Linked DNA regions of Diceros bicornis minor. The protein of the gene in region 2 interacts with the protein of the main gene of each other region in a pairwise test. Links are inferred from orthologs where the notes say so. Each region holds a gene or a part of one and is shown on either strand. Other genes may lie near its edges.

The links. The genes of interacting proteins can lie anywhere in the genome.
Region 1: the proteins of HOMEZ (region 2) and SMYD1 interact in binary tests that used the Homo sapiens proteins (3 or more experiments, as listed by UniProt). The link is inferred for Diceros bicornis minor from reciprocal best matches to the Homo sapiens genes HOMEZ and SMYD1.
Region 3: the proteins of HOMEZ (region 2) and DNTTIP1 interact in binary tests that used the Homo sapiens proteins (3 or more experiments, as listed by UniProt). The two-hybrid records come from large-scale screens. The link is inferred for Diceros bicornis minor from reciprocal best matches to the Homo sapiens genes HOMEZ and DNTTIP1.

Annotation. Positions count from the first base shown.
Region 1 is NC_080751.1:3,157,178-3,161,274, forward strand, and holds the start of SMYD1 (histone-lysine N-methyltransferase SMYD1), read right to left. Parts: upstream 2,960-4,097; 5' UTR 1-2,959. UniProt on the Homo sapiens protein: Methylates histone H3 at 'Lys-4' (H3K4me), seems able to perform both mono-, di-, and trimethylation. Acts as a transcriptional repressor. Essential for cardiomyocyte differentiation and cardiac morphogenesis.
Region 2 is NC_080744.1:24,541,144-24,545,240, forward strand, and holds the start of HOMEZ (homeobox and leucine zipper protein Homez), read left to right. Parts: upstream 1-1,086; 5' UTR 1,087-1,228; coding exon 1,229-1,268; intron 1,269-4,097. UniProt on the Homo sapiens protein: May function as a transcriptional regulator.
Region 3 is NC_080758.1:15,553,939-15,558,035, reverse strand, and holds the start of DNTTIP1 (deoxynucleotidyltransferase terminal-interacting protein 1), read left to right. Parts: upstream 1-1,181; 5' UTR 1,182-1,188; coding exon 1,189-1,293; intron 1,294-1,867; coding exon 1,868-1,938; intron 1,939-2,860; coding exon 2,861-2,957; intron 2,958-4,097. Other genes in the region: WFDC3 (WAP four-disulfide core domain protein 3), read right to left, coding at 960-1,006. UniProt on the Homo sapiens protein: Increases DNTT terminal deoxynucleotidyltransferase activity (in vitro). Also acts as a transcriptional regulator, binding to the consensus sequence 5'-GNTGCATG-3' following an AT-tract.

The DNA.
Region 1 (4,097 bases), on a different chromosome or scaffold from region 2:
ACTTTTCCTAGAGGCAGGGATGGGGCAGGCAAGGGCACGGTGATCTGGGAAGGGTCTCATTCATCATCCAGCAAAGCTGACAGAGCAGAAAATGACCATGGGCTGGTGTGGTTCTGGGATTGGGCCTGAACACTTCTGAAGAGTTTCTTTGCAAGAAGAATCTCAGTCCTGGATGGCAGTTGTGCTCAGCTGTAGTTGGAATAGGGAGCGCTTACTTGGTCAGTAGGGTATTTTTAGCAGCCAGATGCCTCTGTCAATCCAAAGCAGACAGCTGAAATGGTCCAAGAGAAGAGGTAAGGTGATGTGTGCTGCTCTGCAATCCTTCAGCAGTCAGGCTCGCACTTTGTCAAGTGAGATGGGCCCCTTGTCCCCCAGTTCCCTCTCCCATGGGTGGACTGTTCGCAGAGAGCAGCAGACGCTAAACTGACCCCTTTGGCATATTACATAACAGTACTATTTAGGCTCCAAGGGGCATTCCTCCTCTCCAACACTATCTGGGGCTCCCCCAGGACCCCACCCAGGGTATGGACGTCTGAGAGTTCCCTGCTCTTGGCATCACTGAGGATGCAGGTGTGCTGGAGGCAGACTGGTAGAGACAGAAGGCAGGCCTTGAAAATAAAAATCCCCATTTCTATCTTTGTATCAAATCTCCCTTAAACATGTATTTGTTGCCAGGAAAATACCAATGTGCTCTGTCCTTCTTCTTACCCAGGAGTGAGGACATTGGAGAGACAATTCTAAAATCCCCACCAAACTAAATGCCACCATTCTTCACGCCAGGCAGCTCTCACTGAAGCTGAAAAAACTCCTGCAGATCTGGAGCTCTGGCTTATCTTCCAAGCAACATTTTTAGTGTTGGGGATACATCTATTTACAAGAACCCGGTGCCCTGGATCTCTGTGAGTGTAGGAGTTCACAAGCACTGGCTTCTGGGCCAGATAGATCTGCATATGAATTCTGAGCCCACCACTATGACTTTGAATTAGAACCTGTAAAACAAGGGCGATCACTTCTACCTCCCTGGATTGCTGTAAGGGTCGAACGAGATAATAGGTATAAAGGACACAGCACATGCTTGGCACTTCATAAAGAACTCATTAAACGATAACTATTTTATTATATTTTATTTATTCTATCACATTATCTTCCCTGAACTATCAAGATGTGCTAGAAATTCTGTCTTCAACCAAACTGCATCTCCTAAAACTTCTCTGACTCTTGGAAGCAGATGGAAAATCCTTCGTCAGACTGTGTATCCTGATTTTTAGGTAAGAACACAAAGCCCCTAGAGCTGGAGAATATCTCGGTGACTTCTGATGTATCCCAAAGAGCAAAACAACTTAAGACATTTAAAGTTGGGTGCCCCCAAAAGTAAACATTACATGCTCCCAAGAAAAAAAAGGAGTTCTTTAATCCAGGTTAGCTTCAAATGAATGCCTGGACCCACAGTGCCTGGAAACTCAAGGCCTTGCAATAACCAGAGCCTTCCCTCAAGGGCCAGCAGCTCAGCCTGGCAGGGATTAGGCTGTTCTTCTCCAGACACTGTACCCCTGGAACAGGTCCAGTGAAAGCCAAGGTCAAGGAAGAAATCTACCTGCCCCAAGAACAGAAAGAGAGAGGGAGCATCAAGCCCAGTGCTTTAGTTATATTTGCGAGTCTCAACCTTATCAGACCAACAAGTATTACATTATTAACGTGTGGTGGACAGAATAATGGCCCCCAAAGATGTCCAGGTCCTAATCTCCAGACGTGTGAATGTTACCTTACATGGCAAAAGGGACTTTGTGAATGTGATTAAGTTAAGGATCTTGAGATGGGAAGATTACCCTGGATTATCTGAGTGGGCTCAAAGAAACCACAAGAATCCTTACTAGAGGAAGGCAGAGAGGTCAGAGTCAGAGAAGGAGATATGACAATGGAAGCAAGAGGGTAAGAGTCAGAGAGACACTTGAAGATGTTATATTGCTGGCTTTGAAGATGGAGGAAAGGGCCAAACTGTAAGATAATAAATTTGTGTTATTTTAAGCCACTAAGTTTGTGATAACATGTTATAGCAGCAATAGGAAGCTAACACATAAAGTACTATACTTATCTCTCATTATAGTAAATATTATATAACATCCCTTTTGCTACTCTGAAATGAAATTCATACATAATTCACTAGCTCATAACTAAAAAACATAAATTACTAACTCCTATGGTCTAAATGTTCACGTCCTCCCCAAAATTCCTATGTTGAAATCCTCATCCCCAAAGGTGATGGTATTAGTAGGTGAGGCCTTTGGAAGGTGCTTAAATTATGATGGTGGAATCCTCATGAATGGGATTAGTGCCTTATAGAAGACGCTCCAGAGAGATCACTAGGCCCTTCTCTGCCACCATGTGAGGATACAACAAGAAGTCTGCGACACAGAAAAGGGCCTTCATCAGACCGTGCTGGCACTGTGATCTAGGACTTCCAGCTTCCAGAAGTGTGAGAACTAAATTTCCGTTGTTTATAAGCTACCGAGTCTGTGGTATTTTGTTACTGCCTGAATGGTCTAAGACACTAACCTAACCTAATAAGGGAGAAATAAAATGAAAGTTAACTTATAATAAAATAATATATATGCACTGTAAATTAAATATGTCAGTGTGTTCACTATGCATATGCTTGGGCACAACTACTCTAGAAAACATGATAAAGTGGTCAGATGTTTGCTCCTCTCAGCAGAATCACTGTGCTAGTGAGAGCTGTAAATGTAGGTTGATTTGGGGGCACAGATACCACACAGGACATTGTTGTGTGTGATATGATTTTCTGAAACATCAAATAACTCTTAGTCAAGTTCTGATTGAAAGAAAGTATAATCTTCCTTCAGTTAACAAGTTGCATTTCTGAAAAACTTACAGTATATTAAAACTTTACAAAAACTATTTTATGATTACATATAAGACAGAGTTCTAGACTCAGATCATCATAAACAAGGTTTTCACATACCTGAAATGCACATCTGGATATTTGAGGCTGTGCGGGATGAGCAGAGATTCTTCAATGTATAAGGCTGTCCCTTGCTTTCTAGGACATCTAGCATCTCTGGTAAGGATCAATGAGACAGGGGATGGTGGCACTAATTATCAGGCTGGTGATGAGGATGGGGGCACAGAGCCCTGCTACACTGCAAATTAATAAAAATCCTATGTAAAAGTTTTTTGCCTGTCTGCCCTTGTTGCACACCCCCGCCTCCGTTTTTTTTTTCCACAGGTATCCAAATCCTTCTTGGTGGCCCTGGCCCTGCCCACAATATGCCAGTAGCACCCAACAATCATTGTGACAACCAAAAGTTCCCCCACATTTCTAAAATGCCCCCTAGGTGGTGGAACTGCCTCCATTGAGAACTGCTAGTCTTGACATCAAGAAAAGTACATCTAGAGCTTTGAAAGGATTTCTTATTGCCCTACTGGGGATGTTCAGCCAAAGAAGAAAAGATTCAGGAAGGACATGCGAGTTTTCTTCAATCTCAGACATTGAAGTATGGAAGTAGATTCATTCTGCATTTCCTGAGAGATCAAACTAGGGGCCAGAGTGGACATAACCATGTGACAACGTGGGTAGTGGTTAAGATCACAGACTTGTGGGGCCGGCCCAGTGGCATAAGTGGTTAAGTCTACGAGCTCTGCTGTGGCGGCCCGGGGTTTGCAGGTTCAGATCCCAGCTGCGCACCAATGTACCGCTTGTCAGGCCATGCTGTAGCAGGTGTCCCATATAAAGTGGAGGAAGACGGGCATGGATGTTAGCCCAGGGCCAGTCTTCCTCAGCAAAAACAGGAGGATTGGCAGATGTTAGCTCAGGACCAATCTTCTTCACACACAAAAAAAAAAGAAAGAAAGAAAAGATCATAGACTTGAGCTCTACAGACCTTCACAATAATGTTTCTGTAGCTGAGCCCTTTTCTGCTCCAAGAAGATGGAAACTTTTTCCATTGTTTATAATTTTAATAGCCATCCAGTCTATTTCCTTTGTGTGTATGGATAAAGGTGGTGAGAAAGGGAGAAAAACGGACACAGCTCAAGTCGAAGGACACCTAGTCAAGGAGAGAGGTCTGAGTTGGGAGATT
Region 2 (4,097 bases):
ATATTTCTGATGTCTGGCAACCCTGAAAGAGCTCTAGACCATAAAGCCAAGCGATGAAGACTCAGAAGTAGCCGTTATGGTGGTTGGCTTTTGGGAGATACATGGGGAGGGGTGAAGTCTGCGAAATACAGGACAAAGTCTGAAATTGTTTTATAAATTATTGTAAGTATATAAGCTATTAAGTGACCTAATAAGCAAGAAGAGACTTTTTCAAGGACCAGCATGGGAACAGAAGAGTCACTTCAGAAAGTATTGTTCCGAAGTTTTAGTCAGAAGACTGAGAATCCTAAATAGACAAACTTTTGGCCCAGAACTTCGGAGTGTGTGGAATTCTGCTTTGGTGAAAGATCCATTTTATTGTCATCCCTTCCTTGACAGCGAAAACCAAGGTCCCCAGATACGAGGCAGAGCTCCAGGTTCTCTTTACTAGGGCAGAGAGGGGGGCCTGGCGGTCTGGTAGGTCGCAACCAGCTGATCCCTCCAGCACTTCGTTTTTGAGAACACCTGTCCGATGCCAGCTGGACCCGGGAAGGGGCCAAAGGTGCCGGGCTGCTAGGATCCTCGTCTTTCCGGGTGGCAAGACATTTGATCCCTCAGCAACAAGTTCCCGGTTGCTCTAGGCGCTTCGTTTTCAGTGACGCTGCTGACGCCGTTGGGCCCTCGGCCGGGAAGGCGCGGCTCGAGTGTAAGGCTGGCAAGGGGATGCTCAAACCGTCTTCCTCCAAGACGAAACAAATGGGGAGTAGTTGTAGGCGGTCTGGACAGTTCAGCAAACTGCCGTGAATTCCTTGGGGAATTCCGGGAGGAACATAGCTCAGTGTACTCCGAAGGTCCGGCGCCGATAGGTCGAGGGTGGGGGGAAGTACCATTCGCGGCACCCTGGCCCCGGGGGACAGCTTCCCTGCCCCACGCAGCCAATAGCCAACTTCAGCAGAGACCCACGCAGCCAATGGCCGGCCCAGTGCGTTCCGCGGTGCCCGCCTGCCCGCGCCCACCAATCGGGACTCGGGCCACCTTGGCACCGCCCCCGGGGCCCGCCCCACCCATCCGCCCCGCCTCCAACTCGCTGGAGCAGGGCTGGGCTAGCCGGCGCGCTCTCGGTGGCGGGGGGGGCAGTCCCGGTCCCGGCCCTCCGCACGGGTGGGCTCGGAGCAGGCCGCACCGGGCGGGAACCCCACTCCCACCCCGGAGGCCCTCCTGCCCTTTCTCCCCCTTCCCCCCGCGGCCCATGGTGCGAGGCTGGGAGCCGCCGCCCGGGCCGGACCGCGGTGAGTGATCCCCAGCCCCTGCGACTTCCCCTCCCAGCCCCTGTACGATCTCCGACCTCCGGAGCCCCATCCCCGCGCTGGGGGGAGGAGAATTCTAGGTTCGAAGTCGCCCGGTTTTCCCTTCTCCTCTGGACTTTTCGGTTCCCTGTTGTAACTGGGGGAGGGCGAGTGGGTGTGTAGGGAGGAGGGGAAGGCTGGGTGGGACGCCCTTGGCGAGGGGAGAATTGAGATTCGCCTGCTCCCTGGGGCTCATCGCCCCAAGTGCAGCAACTTTTTGTTCTCTGACCCAGTTTGGAGCCTTCTAGACTGCCTGTGAAATGGTGGATAGGAGAAACGTTTCCTTCCCAGCCCTCCCCCCCACGACTACCTCCTGGTGACCTCAACACACGTACAGAAACCTGGCCTTAATTCTGGGGAGCAGTGGCCTTTGGGAATGAAAGGTTTAGGAGAAACTGCCCCTTCTGACCCCCTACCCAGCCATACTCAGAAAACCAACCAGGAAAGTGAGAACCCCAGTCCTCAGAGGTTCCTGGTGTTGCGTCCTAGTCTGAGACTTCTAAACTGAAAGAAGACTCAAGCTGAGACCTGTGTGGTAATGTGGGCCCTGATCAGATCTTGTATCATATGAACCTCCTCCTCACCATACATTTGAAGTCCTTTTATATTATATGATTAAGATAGGTAGATGGCAGTAACTGAAAAAACCAAAACAGCCAGTTCAAGTTGGGAATTTTTTAAATGATGCAAATAAATATCAAGCATTGTCATTAAAAGTACGTTCATTTCACCAATCTTTTGGGGTAGTGTCCAGGCGTGTTCTTTGTGTAAGTCTGCTGGTTGGAGTTCCCAATTGCCTTTCTAGTATAAACTACACAAGCAAATCTCAAATCTGGCTGCACCCTGAGAACTTTTTAAAACTACTGATGCCTGGGCCCCAGTCCAGACTAATTAAGTCAGAAAGAGTAGGAGGATGCCTGGGTTTAAGTTTCCCAGGTAATTCTAATGTGCAGTCTTGCCGCTCATCACCTATGATTACCAGGTGTGGTTTCTTTAAAGTGGAGTGAGAATTTAAACACTTTTAAGGCAATCTGAATGCAGAATACTTTTGAGATTTTTAAGTCACCTTAAAAAATCTTTTACAGTTGTCTTACCTACTCTCAACAATTTTTAAAATGTACACTCTTTTGTATTGTCTTTCCAAAGCATTTGACTTTGTTTTCATAGGAAAAGTTTTTAATGCACTAATTTTTCATAGGTTTATGTGATGTTTAATTACATTATTATATAAATACAGAAAAACAACGGGCATAACCAGGTTTGGAATCACACACAGCTGGCCCAGGCACACAGGGCAGCTGAAGGAAACAGATGATTTTGGCACACTTAGAGAGAAGCCTCCCCGGCTCTGGTGTCCAGTGCACTGTGGGTAGTGGTCATGTAATCCAGTGGGTCAGTTAAGCCAGGCTCCTGGCCTGGTTGAACACTCCTCCCTTCCACTCTCTCCAGCTAATATCACCAATACCCAGTCCCTTCTAGGCTTATTCAAATTCTCTTGAGTCTTCCATCCACTCTTTCCATCCCAGTTCATCCCAGAACTTTTTGTTCTTCTTTAAGCAGTTACCACCATTGCCTTTATTAAGTTTTGAGGACATAACACAACACAGAGGTTCTTAACTTGGGCTTCTGGGCAGCCAGTGAACCCCCTGAGATTATATATGTAATGTGTAACTGTGGATGTTTATTGGGGGGGGGAGGTAGTCATAACTTTCTAAGGTGCTTTTATCTGATTCTCAAAGAGGTTCATGATCCAAAAAGTTAAGAAGCACATCAGTTGAAAATCACTAAAAGTCCTTTAACGCCCTTACAACTGTATCACCAAAACACATTTCAGGCCTTCTTCAGTTCTCTGAATAAGATTTAGGGGATTTAGCAGGATCATATCTAGTGTCCCACTCAAACTTTCTCCTGCTTTAATCATAAGCCTAGGCTCAAGCCTAAAGTTCCAAATACCCATTTTTCTAGGATTGTGTGAACACCTAGATAAGTTTAAGGCAGCCCATTCTTTTCTGCCATCTGCCCAGGAGTATGGAAAGCCCAAAGGGAAAGAAGTGTTTTATCCTGGCTCTTTATTTTTAATTAGTGACTTTAAGTAGCAGTAGGACATATCTGGCATATTTAATAAGGATACAAATTTAGTAATTGCTCAGACTTGATAATCCCACCACCCCTGCCACCACCTCTGCCCACCACCTCTTTCTCCAGCTTTGATTCCCTTCTTTTCCTGCCCTCACCAAATGGAGGCACAAGAACACAAGACACTGTAGTGTCTTCACTGTGGTTTTGATTACCATAACGTCTACCCTACTTGTTAGAGTTCTCATGAGCCACTCTCTGGTTGTAGTTTCTTCCTAATTCAAAGCCAGATTCTTCCAGCGAGGTACCAGCTATATAGCTGTGCCTTGATTTAAGCCACCATTCTATATCAAAAAGTCTTCCACAACTTGTGTTTTGTGTAATTGGAAAACTGTGGATATATATAGTACACCAAATATGATGTTTGCATTACTGCACGTTACATTGAAATATCAAGCTGATCCCATGAGAATCTGAGGGATCACAAACCACATGAATGAAAGCAAAAATGCCTCCTGTAGGCTTCTCACTGCCTGCCTTATGTTCTGGTTTGGCAGTCTTCATCCTTACACTGGACTGCTTTATTCCTTATGCTACATTTCCTTCTTATCTAACGTGTTATTGTGTCAGTAAGAACAGGACACAGATAAGGTAAAGTAGGTGTCAAATATTGCAATCATAAAGTATTCTCCAGCT
Region 3 (4,097 bases), on a different chromosome or scaffold from region 2:
ATGGCATAACAAAAAAAGGAGTAACATATGTCGGGGCCTCTAAAATAGAACTGGGAGGCCATTAAGGAAGTGGGGCTTACGCAGGTACAACACATCTCTAACCAGTTGGAATGTAATTTTTGAACTGTACCTCCTGTTGTTATCTTGACCTTCCTTTAAGAAAAATCCTTACTCCCCTAAATAAGAACTTTTTGCCTTAGAGATGGCCTTAGCAGCCAATCACGTGTAACAAAGAAATAACAGCTGTTGCCAGCAGCAATCACAAGTCTTGCAAAACAACCTGCGTGACTTATCTCTTTTTGTCTTTATAACTCCTGGCCTTCTCTGTCTTCTCCGGAGCACATTTTGGGTTTCTACCTGAATCTGTGTTTCCCAAATTGCAATTCTAATTGCCCAAATAAATATCTCCTATTTAAATTGCAGTGATTCTTTCCCCTGTCGACAGTAACTTTCTCTACCACCCATAAATCGCTCTAATTCTATTCAGGGATGTCTTACCTCTAAGAGCTAAGGGGAGCTCTGGGAACTCCACAGCTGTTAAACCCCTGCATCCCCAGCTCATCCCTGAATCACCCATCTGGGGAGACAAGCCCAGCTCCCTGGGGCTGAGGGAATCCACGGTCCAAGTCCCAACCTTCATTCTGATGCCTTCAGACGCTAGGGGTGGCCCTGGGGTCAAGGCCTAGAGACACCCGGCGGATGAGTGTCTGGGATGGCACGGGTCACACCCCCTCTTGTTGGGTTTCTGGGTCCCCGCATTAGGCCCACTCCAATTCTGGGGGCTGAGTGCCGGGCATACTAAAATCTACAGTTTTCAAAGACTGAACTGCAGGCGCTGCTGTACGAAACGCTCCCCTCTACTCTCCAACCCCAGCCCATGGAAACCCGCTCTCCTCCTGCCCCGCACTTCTCCACCGGCCTTGGCCCAGCCGAAGAACGATCGTTGACTGAACACTCACAGTCCACACCCGAGACGCGGCCCCTCCCGGGAGGAAACCCCTAGCATCCCACACACGAGACCTCTAAGCGTCCTGGCCCCCAGCGAGACGCGGCGGTTCCCACCACAGTAGCTCCGCAGCTCACGGCGTCGCGCTTCCGGGCGGGCGGCCGGCGCGCTCCAATGACGTCACGGGGCCACTTTCCGGCCGGTGGCAGAGTCGGGCTGAAGTTGTGGGGGTCGGGGGCGCCATGGGGGCCACTGGCGACGCCGAGCAGCCGCGGGGACCTGGTGGGGCAGAGCGGGGCGGCCCCGAGCTGGGAGACGCGGGCGCAGCGGGGCAGCTGGTTCTCACGGTGAGGGCGCCCCCGGGGAGGCCAGGGCCGGGGCTAGGCTCGGGCCGGGCGGGGCCTCGGGCTCCCGAGACCCCGGCCCGCGGGCGAGAGAACGCGGCGGCTGGTGCTGCCGAGGGGGTTGGTGTTTTCGCGGTCCGACGACCTGAATTCAAATTCTGGTGCCGCCCTGCTGGCTAGGTGACGTGGGCCGGTCCTGTCAACCCCCGAGCTCCAGTGTCCTCTTTTATAAAATGGAGATGATCAGTGCCAGCCTCATAAAGTTGTGGGGATGGGATATAAATGCGGGTAGAGCGCCCAGCACGTCGTCTCCCACAGAGTAGGCCCTCGGTAACACTGGTTCCCGTCCTCCAGCCCTTCCTGAAAAAGTGGGGTTGGGACTTGAGAAGCAAAAAACTTTTCGTCGGTTCCTCGTCCCTGGCAGGGCCTTCCAACCACCGCCCTCCCGCCTGCCCTACGGTGGGAGAGGTGGTGAAAGCAGCTGAGAAGCAGGGATGTCTAGGTTTAACTTCATATCCACCCTCCACCCCCACCCCAGTGTCACGGGCCTCAGTGACATCTCCCTTGGTCCCCACAGAACCCTTGGAACATAATGATAAAGCACCGGCAGGTGCAGCGAAGGGGCCGCCGCTCACAGATGACGACAAGGTAAGGCTCGCCGTGGGTGGGACTTACCTCCCAGGCACTGGCTTGGATGGCAGTTTGGGGTCGCCGCTGCACAGGGCTGAGAAGAGATCGTCAGCCAGTAGAAAGAGCACTGGACTAAGAGAGAGGAGTCTCAGATTCTGTAACTCTATGTGTGACTTGGAGCAAATCCCTTCCCTCTCTGAACTCATGAACAAAATGAGGGAGAGGGTTGAATTAAACGATGCTTAAGATTCCTGACACTCACTGGCTCCGTGGTTGAGGGCTCTAGAGAGGCAGAATAGGGTGGAGGTTAAGAAAAAAGTGAGGCTGATAGTAGCATCCATTGCAGAGAAGGGAGAGAGCACAAGACGGACCTTTGGGATGCTGATTATGTTTCTTGACCTGGGTAGTGATTAAATGGATGTTCATTAAAAGTGTTGGTTGGAGCCGGCCCTGTGGCATAGTGGTTAAGTTCTGCTTCGGCGGCCTGGGTTCGCAGGTTCGGATCCCAGGCACAGACATACACCACTCATCAGCATTGCTGTGACAGTGACCCACATACAAAATAGAGGAATAGTGGCACAGATGTTAGCTCAGGGCTAATCTTCCTCAAGCAAAAAAAGAGGAGGATTGGCAACAGATGTCAGCTCAGGGCAAATCTTCCTCAGCAAAAAAAAAAAGTATATATATATATATAAAGGTGTATAGACTTTTCGTGTAAGTATTATAGTTCATAAAATGCCTTATCCATTTCATAGAGTTATTATGAGAATGCAATAAAGTCATGCATCTGTGTAGTTTGCACACAACTTGGGCACATAGCTAGTTTTCAGTAAAAGCTATCTATTGTCATTAAGGATCCTATATCAATAATTGGCTAGGCAGACTAGAAAAGGATATGTTTGGGACATGCCTCCTGACTGTGTCTCCTTCCTGAATGCAGTTTCACAGATCCTTCCATCTCCATGGACCTCCTCCGAGCTGTCTTGCAGCCTAGCATCAATGAGGAGATCCAGACTGTCTTCAACAAGTATATGAAGGTGAGAGGGACACAAAGATAAAAAATTAACACGGAGAAAAACTCATGGGCAGTCTTTTCCGGCATCACAGTCTCCCCGGGTCTCTCTAGTATGCAGAGATGTCTAAAGTTTTCCAATTCTGAACCCCTGAGAACTTTTTGCCCTCTTTGGGGGTAATTTGAATGCCTCTTTTTTTGCTCAGCTATCGTGAGGATGAAGTGACTTAATGTACTCAGCACTGTGCTTGGAACATAGCAACTACTTTTATTACTTGTTTAATAATATCACCATTATTACTGTTATTTAAAATTCTTTTCTAGGCCTCTAAATAAACTTCTACATGGCTTTACCTGAATGTCCCATGGTTGCTTCAAACCCAGCATTTTCAGAACTAAACTGTTTTTCTTTGTAAACCTCCTCCTCTTGTGTTTATTTATTCATTCAAGAAGTATTTGCTGAGTGCCTACCATAATGGCAGGCACTGTTCTAGGCACTGGAGGTGTAGCTGTGAACAAAATGAACAATATCCTTGACCTCTTTAAACAAATATGTACTGTGTTAGGGAATGCCAGAGAGAAGAGGAAGAGAGTGACCAGTGGGGAACAGGGTATTATTTTATAGATTGCGGCTAGGAAAGCCCTCTGATAAGAGGATATTTGAGCAGAGACCTGAATAAAGTAAGGAAAGAACAAGGCAGGCAGATACCTGGGGGAAGAGCAGTCCAGGCGGAGAGAACAAGGGCAAAGGCCCTGAGGCTGGAGTGTGCTTGGCACATTCAAAGCAACAAAGTGGCTACTGGGGCTGGAGCCCACTGAGCAAGAAGGAAAGTGGTGGGAGAGGTGATCAGAGATGTAACAAGGGCCCAGCTCATGCAGAACCTTTGGAGCCATGGTAAGGACTTTGGGTTTTATTATGGGTAAAATAGGGGCTCTTGGAGAGTTTTGAGCAGATCGGAACATTTTTAAAGGGTGACTCTGACCGCAGGAGGCCTATTAGGTGGCTTGGGTGTTAGTAGTAAAGATGTTGGGAAAGAGTATCTGTATGTATTTCAAAGGCAGCAAGAAGATTTGCCAGTGATTCTCATGGGCAGGGTAAAAGAAAAAGAAGTAAACGATTCCCAGGTTATTTGCCCTGGGAAGCTGTAAAAATTGAATTGCTATT